Linked DNA regions of Mus musculus. The protein of the gene in region 1 interacts with the protein of each later gene in a pairwise test. Links are inferred from orthologs where the notes say so. Each region holds a gene or a part of one and is shown in the gene's direction. Other genes may lie near its edges.

What was found.
Region 2: the proteins of Kash5 (region 1) and Nrip3 interact in binary tests that used the Homo sapiens proteins (3 or more experiments, as listed by UniProt). The two-hybrid records come from large-scale screens. The link is inferred for Mus musculus from reciprocal best matches to the Homo sapiens genes KASH5 and NRIP3.

Annotation. Positions count from the first base shown.
Region 1 is NC_000073.6:45,186,878-45,193,171, reverse strand, and holds part of Kash5 (protein KASH5), read left to right. Parts: intron 1-1,303; coding exon of another isoform or gene 1,304-1,318; exon of another isoform or gene 1,319-1,580; intron 1,581-1,881; exon of another isoform or gene 1,882-2,169; intron 2,170-2,243; exon of another isoform or gene 2,244-2,316; intron 2,317-3,144; coding exon 3,145-3,222; intron 3,223-3,241; exon of another isoform or gene 3,242-3,444; intron 3,445-3,478; coding exon 3,479-3,535; intron 3,536-3,771; coding exon 3,772-3,831; intron 3,832-3,997; exon of another isoform or gene 3,998-4,254; coding exon 4,255-4,319; exon of another isoform or gene 4,320-4,472; coding exon 4,473-4,560; intron 4,561-4,874; coding exon 4,875-5,030; intron 5,031-6,294. UniProt on the Homo sapiens protein: As a component of the LINC (LInker of Nucleoskeleton and Cytoskeleton) complex, involved in the connection between the nuclear lamina and the cytoskeleton.
Region 2 is NC_000073.6:109,759,649-109,765,937, reverse strand, and holds part of Nrip3 (nuclear receptor-interacting protein 3), read left to right. Parts: intron 1-389; coding exon 390-472; intron 473-2,314; coding exon 2,315-2,454; intron 2,455-4,064; coding exon 4,065-4,117; intron 4,118-4,196; coding exon 4,197-4,291; intron 4,292-4,748; coding exon 4,749-4,764; 3' UTR 4,765-6,289.

The DNA of each region.
Region 1 (6,294 bases):
GCCGAGGCCCACCCACCTTCAAGGGTTCCTACCCCTATCCGGCAGACCCAGCATCCCACATGCTGTGATAGTCCCTGGGGGGCATTCATGGGGAGGCCCTGGCCAGTTCTTCTTATGTCTGCATCATGGTGCCCTCACCATCAGGGGAGCAAGCCAGTCAGTGGTCTCACCTCATGTGAGGCTTAAACTAGAAAATGCTTAGAAAGTTCCTAACTCAAGGTAGGATATATAGGGTGTGCACAGTAAAATCCAACAAGCTGGTATAGTGTTCCGTGCCTGCCATCCCAGCACTCAGGAGTTTGAAGCAGAAGGATTTTGAATTCAAGACTAGCCTCAGCTATGTAACTAGACTGTCTGAAAAAAAAAATGTCACATGCCTTCGTTTTTATCAGTGTGTTGGTGGTGAGTTTGATCTCTGGCAATGCAAATGAAACTGCAAAAACTTATAAAACATTGTTTTAAGCATAGGCATTGAGTCACCCTAGGAGCACGATAGGCCACTTCCAAGGATGCTGCTCTTTCTTTCATTTCTGAGGGGTTTTGTTTTTTGTTTTTTGTTTTTTTTGTTTTTGTTTTTGTTTTTTGAGACGGGGTTTCTCTGTGTAGTCCTGGAACTTACTCTGTAGACCAGGCTGGCCTCGAACTCAGAAATCCACCTGCCTCTGCCTCCCAAGTGCTGGGATTAAAGGCGTGCGCCACCACACCCGGGTCCAGCTTTTTTTTTCCTGCTTGTAGCCTCATAGTCACAGATGGTTTAAGGCAGGGTGCATGCACCCACAGACACACACACACACTCACACACTCACATACTCCTGCCCCTCTGTGTGTTGTTTCAACAGCCAACTCACCATATCGTTGGCTGGGGAGGATCCCTTAGCCACAGCTGCAAGGGAGCCTGGGAGGACGAGGAAGCAGCCAGATAGGAGGGGTTGGGACAGCTGTTTCTATAGCAGACAGGTTTTCTTGTCACTGCCCCCAGGGCATGTCATGCAGGCGGCAGGAGTCAGCTGTGTGAACTGGCCACCTGCACCCCTGCCTCCTACACCAGGCCCTGTGCCCTGCAGAGGGACTTCTAGGCATGCAAGTTCAAGCAGAGCTAGAGCTATTCTCAGCCCCTTGCTGACCCACTGCAGCTGCCCACTGAAATCTAGAGATTGAGATCTCAGGTTACACCGCATGGCCTGCTGGAGTAACAGGATACTCGGTCTCCCAAAGTCTGGCTGCTGGCTGAATCCCAAGGATCTACAGCCGGTGCTTCTGCAGGAGGCTGCACGGTGCTGAGATGGCTTTTGGGTCCCACCAGGTGGACAGGTGTTGACACAGCACTCCCAGCTGTCCTTCCTCTGCCCTTCACCCAGCAGCCCGAGCTGCTGAGATGAATGACGCACTGGTGACCGGGAGCAGGGATGGGGCTAGATACCAAAGAGCTACTGGCCTCGTCTCCTGGGCTCTGGAGGAGGATGTGGCTTGCTAGACTTCAGGTGCCTGGAACCTTGGACTTGGAATTGTCATATTCATTTGTTTGTTTGTTTGCTCATTTGTTTGTTTAAGACAGGTCTTCTCTGTGTAACCCTGGCTGTCCTGGAACTTGCTCTATAGATCAGGCTGGCCTCGAACTCAGAGGTTTGCCTGCCTCTGCCTTCTGAGTGCTGGCATTAAAGGCATGTGCCACCACTGCCCAGCTTTGTTTTTGTTTTTTAAGATGAGGTCTTGTTATATAGCCCAGGCTGGCCTGGTATTAAAAGTTATCCTCCTACATCAGCTTGCCTGGTGCTGAGATGACAGCTGCATTTCCTCACACCCAGCTTCGGTCACACTGGAGAGCTGTTGTGGATGCCTTTTCCTGACCTCAGTGTCTCCCCTGGGGAGGCTCAGCCCAGGCACCACCTCCTAACCAAGCCCTGTGGCTGTTCTACCACCCAGCTTGAGTCTCTCAGTGAGCCTTGGGCTTAGTGTAATCTGTGTCTTCCTTGTTCCACTTCTGGTCCCTGTGCACCTTGTGCATACAACACCACCACTTCTCACGAGGCTTTTGTCACCCAGAGTTTTATCTGCGCCCCCCCAGAGGCTGAGTGTTAGAGGTGGGACTGGGCATCACACAGATGGGGCAGCCTTGCCAAGTCTCGTAGCCTCTGTTCAGTTCCTCCTGTAGAGCTGAAGGGAAGGATGCTATTAATGGCTATATAGCCACACACTTACAGAGCCAATGTAATATGGACAGTGCCAGCCCTGGATCTACCCACCTGCTTGCAGGTGACTGTGAAGTCACTACAGGGGTCCACATCTGGGGGCATATGTCTGCCACAGGCCAACACCCTAGGTGGAATACAAGAAGACGGGGTGATTTTGTTGCCAACTCTGGAATTACATTTTACTAAAGGAAATAAGTTGTCATAAGTAGGTAAACACTGGGGTTGCTCCAGGCAAAATGGGAGATTTGCTTTAATAAAATGACTGAGTTAGACAAGAAAGCAAAAGAAATAAAGAAAAGGAGGAACCAAAGTCTAGTTATTACAGTGGGCATGAGGGTGAGGTATGATGGCTCATACCTGCCTTCCTGCTAAAGCGGGAGGATTACAAATTCAAAGCCAGCCCAAGCTATATATTGAGACTGTGTGTGTGTGTGTGTGTGTGCATGTGCGTGCGCGCACTTGCAAGTATTCTGGGCTCACTATACTTTAGTTTCGTATGTTAGGAAGCATGAGTTTCTTTAATTATCTATAACTGTTCATCTCTAACATTTATATCTGGTGCATGCCAGGCGCATGCTGACTCAACTCTAATGTCTGTAATCATTCACGTTCACTGGCCTGTGCTAGCATGAGTAAGAGCTGTGTGACATGAGACAAATTACTCAGCCCCTCTGTTCCTGAGTTGCCTTTATCTCATTAAAACTGGGAAAAGAAATGGAGTCATACATGCAAAGTACTTAGATGTACTCATTCACTCATTTAGCTCCCAGGGACCTCATACAATCTAGGTATCACCTCATTGGTGGGGAAACCACCTATGGAGAAAGGGCAGACAAGGTCCCTCCCTTCAGGGTGATGGAAGAAAGGGGCTGCCTGGAGAGCAGCCATGGCAGTGAATGGCAGCTGTCCACCTCACACTCCTGGTTGGTGAGCATGGCTGTCCTCCCTGCAGAATGAGAAGCTGCTAGCTGAGAGAGATGGAGTGAAAAGGCGGAGTGAGGAGTTGGCCACAGAGAAGGACGCTTTGAAGGTGCGGAACGTGTACTCACCTCCCTGTACCCGAGTCAGCGCTGGAGTTGCTGAGAACAGGCTCTTGCGTCAGAATCCACATGCCACATCCTAGGCAGTCAGCTGGAGTCCCCCTCAGAGCAGCTGACACCCACGGGTGTCACTGGCAGCTGAGGGAAGACTGGACAGGGACGGTGCAGGGAGGAGGGTGCGCAGTGGGAGGCCGAGGGGAGATGTGGGAGGCCTGTGAAGAGATGGATAGGCTCTTTCCTTGGCAGCGGCAGCTCTGTGAGTGCGAACGACTCATTTGCCAGCGTGAAGCAGTCCTCTCAGAGGTGAGGGACAGGGAGGGGACAGACCTGCCCTTAGCGTGCCTTCATAGCCCCTGCCTTGTGTGGCAGGAGCCCACCCAGGTCTGGGCCCTAGCCAAGCAACCCACACCGGCCCAAGGGATTCTCCCAGGTTACAGTGTGGCCTGCAGGCTGTCCCAGCTCAGCCAGCCCCCCTTCAGCAGCCTCATGTCTTGGGGAACTGAGCCCTGCCTCAGGTAGCTTTGTGTTCCGTACCCCAGCGTACCCGCCATGCAGAGAGTCTGGCCCGGACCTTGGAGGAGTACAGAACTACCACCCAGGTAGTACCTGAGCCCATGGTGCCCCTTCTGCCCGTCTCTATGGGTTCTTTGCAGCTGGCTTTCCTCCCTGCTAAGCACTGCATCTCTCTGCCCCTTCCCTCCTCACTCTGCATCCCTGACCTCTACTGGCTCTGTTTTGTGTGGACATTTTTCCCATAGCACTCACCTCTCTGGGGGCAACTGTCTCCCCTGGGCCGAGTCCATCCGTCTGTCTGGGTAACTCCTTTGTGTGTTTTTCTGTGAATCTACCCACCTTAGAGTCCCTTCTGCCTTTGTGATGCTCGGGCTGTCTGGTGCTCTGGGCTTCTGAACTCTCTTAGTCCCGGACCTTTGGCCACTGCTGCTTCACCCTGGTAACTGGCAGTATGTGTCGGCAAGAGGAGTGTGTGGGCTCCACGGGGGCCCATGCTCTGCTTCTTACAGGAACTAAGGCAAGAGATCTCAAACCTGGAGGAGCAGCTGAGTCAGAGCCAGGAAGGCCCAGAGGAGTGAGTGGTGTTCAGGAGGGAATGGGGATGAATGAGCCATGGATCATGGAGAGGGGGGGAGCGAGTGGATGGTTGGGCAGACAGGGGCAGGAGAGGGCTGGGCCACAGGGTGAAGTCTGTTCCAAAAGCTAGGCCTCCCCTGTGTGTGGCCAGGCTGCTGGAAGGGGCTGAGGCAGGAAGAGTAGGCTGGATCATGGCCCTGCCCCCATCACTAGACTTGGAGATCCAAGCTATCCGACAGGTAGGCTCTGCTTCCATGGAAACTCTCCATGTATCCCTGTTCAGACCCTCACTCTGGCCAGAGCAGCACCTCGTCATCGCCTGCCCTTCTCCAGCTTTCTCTGCCTTAGCCCCAGCCCTGAAAACTCCAAGGCCATGTTCCTTAACATCATCTCTCACCAATCTGGTCCCATCACCAATTTCCTCCGTTCCTCCATATCTTTCCGCCTATTGTCTTGTCCCAGCCCCACACCTGTGCCCCCCTTCACCTCTGTCCTGCCTGTGCCCCCACTTTTCTCTGGCCCTCCCAGGTTCACATACAGCTTCTGCTTCCAGGAGCAGGATGTAGCCAGTGCTGGCCTCTCTAGTCCTCTGTATGGAGTGTGGCAGTGGGAAGAGGTGGAGCCTGAGCCTGAGCCTGAGCCTGAGCCTGAGCCTGAGCCTGAGCCGCAGGAGGTTGAGTTTCCCTCTGAGGACCCTGCTAGGCAACAGGTACTCAGAGAGAGGCCCTGAGCCACAGGAGTCCAGGGGCCCCCAAGGCTCTACCCTCTCTGCTCCTTTGCTGTGTCTTGCTGTGTTGTCTACTCAGTGAGCTTGCAGAGAGCCTGATGCAGGTGGGGGGTCCAGCCCCAGCCAACAGAACACACCCCTGCCCTCAAGGGACAGACAAAGTCAGGCTGCCCCATAGAAAAACTGTCAAGATGCGCTTATTCATGGTGAAAGACATGAAATGTCGTTTTAAAAAGCTTCATGGTGATGGTGGCGTATGCCTTTAATCCCAGTGCTGGGGAGGCAGAGGCAGGCGGATCTCCGAGACCAGCCTGCTCTACAGAGCAAGTTCCAGGAGAGCCACGGATACACAGAGGAACCCTGTCTTTAAAAAATAATATTAAAGTGAGAGAGAGAGAGAGAGAGAGAGAGAGAGAGAGAGAGAGAGAGAGAGAGAGAGAGAGAGAGATGGGGGAATGGAAGGAAGGCTTACCACTAAAATGATTCTAAGCTACACAGAGGCTCTATCTCAAGAACACCAGGGGTCTTTCTAGCCAAGGTCTATACTATGCTAGGCAATTATTCTACCGCTAAGCAGAAGCTCCTGTGTACTCCTGAGCTGGCCCTGTATATAGATGAGTCACCCAAGACAAGTGACCCCAAATGGTCCAGTTTAGGTAGCAGCTGGCCTGGGATGGAGGGGGTGTCTGTTCCAGCTGGGGGACAGTAGAGGGAAAATGACCTTGTCGTGGGACCTGAGATGCTTGGGGACATAAAGCCACACCATGGTCTCGGGTGACTCGGCAAAGGGTCTGTCTTCAGCTGTGAGTGGGCAGGATAGGGACAGGGAAGGAGGGCGGTCCCGAGAAGGGAGGTAGGGGAGGAGGAGGAGGAGAAGAAAAGAAGGGGGGCAAGATGGCCAGAGAGCTATACCCCAGCTCCCAGGAAGTAGAAACAGGAAGATAGGCACTCAAGGTCGTCCCCAGCCTCTGGAACATAGTGAGTCCATGCCAGAACAGAGTAACAACAGAAAGTGTCAGGGTGGTGGAGTTGGTAGCTGAGGGCACAGGCACACAGGAGGCCTCTCTGGAGAATGGGCCCTGCAGAGGACTAGGGGCATCCAGAGACCCCCAGAGGGAAAAAGGAAGAAAGTACTGAGCCCCCTCTTGACACTGGCTGGTGCATGGGGGAGGGACACCCTGGGGACATCAGTCTCTAGTCCTGAGAAGGAGTTAGAGTCATCAGTGCCCATGGCATATCTGGCTTT
Region 2 (6,289 bases), about 65 Mb from region 1:
CCAGCCCATGTGTGATCTTTTTAAAGAGCTGGCGTGTAGTTCAGAGGTAAAACAAAATGAAACAAAACAAGCCTCATCTAGCTCATCTAGCTCAAAGCCCTGAATTTGCCTCCAGGATGATCTTTTTTAAAGATTATGTACATAATATTTAGCATAGAGTGAAACCCATAAAGGATTTTATGGGTATTCTATCAGCCTTAGATTTAGTTAGCAGGAAAAAGAGCCAGTCAAAGACAGATTTAGCCGTGGGGGAAGTGGGACAGCACCAACGACCGGTTGGAAGGCTGCTCTCAACCCATGTCTTTCATTTGACATCTGCTGCTTGCTCTTTGTCTCATTCCTCTTTTGCTTCTCTAGATCCTATTAAAGAGTCTATTTCCTTCCCACAGTGTGCTGGGAAGGACGTGAAAGCTTTGGTTGACACTGGCTGTCAATATAATCTCATCTCCTCAGCCTGTGTGGACAGATTGGGGTAAGTAGCCATTTGTCCTGGGTAGAAGTCAGATGCATTTATTCTTCTTCCTTGCATCTGGTTTAAGGTTATAATGCTTGGATGTATCCACAGAAGCAAGAAAAACATGCGAAGCTTTTCCTCTCCTCCAGAACCAGTTTCCTTAACAGAGAGGAGTGCTGCAATTTGTCAGACAGTGGGAGAAATGCAGGAGACCTTGGGCCTTCTGTTAATTTCCACTTTCTAAATTCTGAGCAGGTTTCTAGAGTATGGAGTGAGAAAGTATAAGACTCTCGCTCAGTACATACCCTGCCTTGATTCTCTAGACAGCAAGTTGTCCTGTTGTTACTCCAGAAGTGTAGAAGCAAGGATGGCTTTCTCTACCTTACTGCTATTTCACTCAACCTTTCCTGTTACTTCTTCCTTCTTCTTACTCTTTCTTCCAAAGTACCAGATGTTCTCTGAGGTATCTTGCTTAGAATCAACCTAATATTATTTCCCCTAGTTTTCTGTAGACCCAGTGATTCTCAACTTTCCTAATGTGTGATCCTTTAATACACATGTTGTGGTGATCCTCAGCCATAAAATTATTTTCGTTGCTACTTCATAGTTGTAGTTTTGTTGCTGTTATGAATTGTAATGTAAATATCTGCAATGTAAACTCCAGTGGTCTTAGGCAGTCCCTGTGAAAGGGTCATTCACCCCCACCCCAAAGGGGTCAGGAGCCACAGGTTGAGAACCAACCGCTGCTGTAGACAGAAAACTGTTCCTCAGGCCAAATCTCTGTAATTAATGAGACAGACCAAGTGGCCTGTTTAGAGCTTCATCCAAAACATGCATATTCTCAACTGGGCTTACCCAGGGCTTCACTGCAGTTCTTAATGACTGCATTATATCATCTGTTTCTCCTATATCTGCCTACTTCTCACTTCCTACCCACTGTTGGGACTCTCGGAAGTTTGTTCTGTGAATTATTTTATACATTACTATCTAGGATTGGGGAAAAGTAGATCCCAGGACTCAAGTGGGAAGAATCTTAAGTTTTTTGTCTTTGGTTTTTTTTTTTTAATGTAGTGAAGAGATGAGGTATGTACAATATGATGGTTCCAGAAAGACTAATGATGTCCTGGTGCATAATTAGGCAGCAGACTGCCATGGTTCCGGAGGAATTAATAACCATCTGTAAAACTGCAATTAGTTTTCTTTTGGATGGGCTGTAATACCAAAAGAGAGGAAATGGAGGAAAACAGAAGTATTGGCACAGAAAATCCCTAATTAAGTATTTATCCACCAGCCCATAATAGCTCGGGTGCTAGCTATTCCAATCAGCTTATGTAATTGTGTGAAACCTTGGTGCTGTTCCTTTCCTTCCATCCCAGCAAAGGCAAGTCAAATTAGGGAGGACTTTCCCCATAATATGCTTTGCTGCTAACCAGTATCAATAGTCTTACCAAACAAGTGCCTGTCTCCATTAGCCTTATAGACTAAGACAATTTTATGACAAGAAATTGAAATAGGAAGGAGAAAAATGGACCTTGAACGAAGCCTTTTCTAAGTTAGGATTAATTTGCCCTCTGATATCTGTTATCCGCAGATGGATAAAGACACATTAATAGGGATATTAGGATGCAGAATAGAATTCCCTAAACATGTCAACTCCTCTCTGCACAAATGCAGGTAGTAATTTAAGTTTCTGAAAGACAGGAAACAAGTCCCCTGTTTTCTCTTGTATTCCCCTGGCATGGTTAGAAAGAAAGGGTTGAAGCAAGTATAGCCTGCCTAGCTCAGGAAGTCCCTCGAGAACCCAATTCTGAGACAGAAAACTTTGACAAAGGGATTATAATAGCTTTCTCTCTGTTTCAGACTAAAGGACCATGTCAAATCTCACAAGCATGAAGGGGAAAAGCTTTCTCTACCACGGCATCTCAAAGTAGTTGGCCAGATTGAGCACCTAATGATCACAGTGGGTTCTCTCCGTCTGGATTGCCAAGCAGCTGTGGTTGGTGAGTTAAATTGGGGGACAGATGGGTCTAACATAAACTCTCATGCCTATAATACTGACTTCTTCAAAATCCAAGATTTCCATTTCCGTATACTCTACACCTTTGTCATAATTTTACCCTTCCAAGCGCTGGGATTAAAGGTTCATGCCACCATACTGTGCACATTTGTTGTTATTGTTCTGAGACAGGGTCTCTCTATATAGTTCTGTATGTCCTGGATCTCACTATACACACTAGGCTGTCCTTGTACTCACAGAGATTCTCCTGTCCCCCCCCCCCCCAGTGCTGAAATCAAAGGCGTGTACCACCATGGACAGCTCAGCACATCAGGTTTTTTTTTTTAATTAATTAGTTAATTTACCAGGGGCTAGATGGCATAGTGGTTTAGAGTATTTCCTGCCCTTTCAAAAGACTCAGATTAGGTTCCCAGCATCTATATAGGATGGCTCACAACCACCTGTGACTCCAGTGCCAAGGGATCTGACACCTTCTTCTGGCATCCTCAGGCTTTTGTACACATGTGATGTACATACATACTTAGGCACACACAGAAACATTAAATCTTTAAAAATAGAACGGAGCCAGTGGAATTGCTCAGTGGATTAAGATGGTTGGAATCAAACTGACAGCCTGTGTTTGATCTCACATTTCCACATGTGTTCCACGGCACAGGTATGCCCCCATAAATAAACACATGTAATTAAAATTTTAATAATCTTGATGACATAAGGCTGTTTTCATACAGGCATGTAAATGCACTTCCTCACTCTTCACTGCTCAGTCAGCTCCCACTGTTGCCCCAACAGCTTCACTACCTGATGTCATCTGTTTCTCTGACTGTCTGTGCCCTTCTGAAAGAAGACACACAAAAGAGAGAAAACATCAATTCTTTGTCTTTCTGAAACTGGTTTAATTTACTCACTATGATGTCTCCAGTTGCATCCATTTTCCTGCAAATGGCATAGCTTCATTCTTTATGGATAAAAGGAATTCCATTATGCATATAAGCCACAGGAAACAGACTTTTCCTACATTTACTAATGTATGTGTTTGGGGAGGGTGTGCTCTTGTGACATGCCATTTTTATGGAGGTCAGAGGTTAGGTCTTTCCCTCCACTGTGGATTCCAAGGAGTGAACTCAGGTCATCAGATATGACAGCAATCACTTTGCCCACTGAGCCATCTTATCTACCTAAAAACAGATTTTTTTTTTTAATGTGTGAGCTAAAATGTCCCAAAAGGCACTTTTCATGAGCTCGTAACTGGTGAAGACAAGGTCCTTGTACTCCTGCCATAAATGCCTGATTGCCTACTCTCCTTCTGTGCTTCTCATATGTTCTGTTAGACTACACTAAGTACTTGCCTCTGTTTTACTGAAGGCCTTTGTCCTCTAGAGCAAAAAAGACTTTGGTTTGAATTTTGGCTTTTACCTTCTTTTAGCTATAATGATCGGAGAAAGTACAGGTTCAACGGCTGTTTATTGGGTAGTTAGCTGGCTGGTTTGCTGGATGGGTGGATGGATAGATGATACAAATGCATTGAATGGTGTTTACGCTGACATCCAAGCCAGCATGGAAATGTCTGACTCTTACTGTTTTGTTTTTTATTAGATGATAATGAAAAAAGCTTATCACTTGGTCTCCAGACTCTTAGATCCCTGAAGGTAGGACTGATATTTCGTCTCAGAGGCAGGGAACTGAGAGTAGCATCACTGAGTGACCAGTGATCCTGCTTTGTTTTAGTGCATCATAAACTTGGACAAGCACCGGCTGATTGTGGGGAAGACAGACAAAGAAGAAATCCCTTTTGTGGAGACAGTTTCTGTGAATGACGACAAGTAAGTACATGAGTCAGGGCATTCTCAGACAGTATATAGGCTTATAGCCCACCTCTAGCTTTCAGTCATAGCAGAGGTCAGCCCTTCCCCAGACTAGAGTTTACTGTCCCGCAGAACTCTGTAGCCTACATGTTATAATAAACAAGGATAGCACATAGAATAGTGGAAAAAACAGTCTTTTAAGGGGATGTGTGTGTGTGTGTGTGTGTGTGTGTGTGTGTAACAAGGTTTCAGTGTGCAGCCCAGGCATGGAATGGGGTGAGTTGGGAATAAGGCATTGAGATAAGGTTTTAGCATGTAGCCCAGGCTGGCTTTAAATTCATGAGCTTCCTGCCTCAGCTCCCTAAGTGCTAGGATTATAGATGTATACATGAGACATTTTAAAACCCAAGTTAATTTGCCTTCAGATTAACTCCTTTGAATTTGCTATCAATTATTTGTTTCTTTCTCATTTCAGCACTTCAGAAGCATAATTGCAGCCTGAAGCGTGTGCGCATGTGCACACACACACCAGGTTGACAGACTGAGAAAACTGGGTTTGAACTAAATACAATAGCAACTTGCTATGGACCAAGTCCTTCCCTCCAGTACATCCTGCAGGGGCTTCTTCCCGCTCAGACCTTTTTAGACTATAGTCTGTGCTTAGAGATCTTGTCTGGTTAATGGCTTAATGGTTAAACAGACATTGTTTTTTACTTCTTTGAATATTTAATTTATAGACCTTTTTTGACACTGCCAGGTCTTATTTGTGGCCTATTTCTCTGCTTCTTCCAAGAATTTGCTTTTTATTAATCAATCCAGTGTAGGGGCTGCCAGGTTCTACTTCTCCATAGATAACACTTGCTTTTTGAAAATATTAAAATATACAGTAAATAGGAACTTTCTTTCAGCTGTTTCAAAGAGGTATAGAAACATGTCTTGACTTTAGAATCTCTTCTGAAGTAATTGATTTTTCCAGTGTGAACTTATCTGAAAGATGTTTCAGGGGGATCATCTGGTCCAGACATTTAATTTAAACACACAGACAGGTAAATTATCTAAATTCACATATTAAGTCATGGCAGAAGACAAGCAGAATCCAGACCTGATATCCAAACCAAGGCTCTTATGCTGCTTTCTTTGTTTTCCAGCCTTAAGAAGAAGGCAGGAAGGTTAAAGTGCAAGAAAGGAGGGGTAATGGATGTGGCTTTGTGGTGGCCTGCTTGTCTAATGTACACAAGGTCCTGGGTTCCATCACAGCACTAGAGATAGAGAGATGGCTTGTTTATTAAGAGTGCTTGCTTCATAAGCATGAAGACTGCCATTTGGATCCTAGTACCCAAACAAAAGCTGGGCATTGTCCCACACACACCTGAGACCCCAATGGAACTTTCTAGCTTCCAGTCTAACCAAAAGAGAGAGAGGAATAGACAGGAAGAGGGGGAGAATGGAGGGGGAGTGTCTCCAGAGTCCTTGCCTTAAAGGAACCAAGTGAAGTGTGGTAGAGGAATAGATGACATGACACCCACATGTTCCTCTGGCCTCTGTGAGTGTGCACAGGTGCACAGCTCCATGCACTCATACAAATTCCTACACACACTCACAGACACACATGGACACACACCACAGGGAAGATGAGAGGGTGCAAAAACAGGCTACAAAGATGAAACAGTCTCTCAATGAACAAGAGAAGAAAGAAACCACAGATAGGAAGGCATATTATTAGTTCCTGAGACACCACTGACAATGTAGTTGTCCCTGTGGGATATTGATTACCCCTAAGGACCAGTCAGAATGTCTGTCTGTCTTGTTACATGTCACAAAGATTCAAGTAGCTGGAAGTAGAGATAGGGAAAGGAAAAATAAAAACCACAGTAGTCCAGAATAGAAGGAAGAGGCAGAGTATGCTGAGTGGGGAAGTCTACCTGGGAGACTTTCCTGAGACTGAAATGGGGAGTGAACCCTCCAGGCAGGGAAGTAAAGGCTGGCAAGCCCTCGGTACAGGGAAGGGAGAAAGGT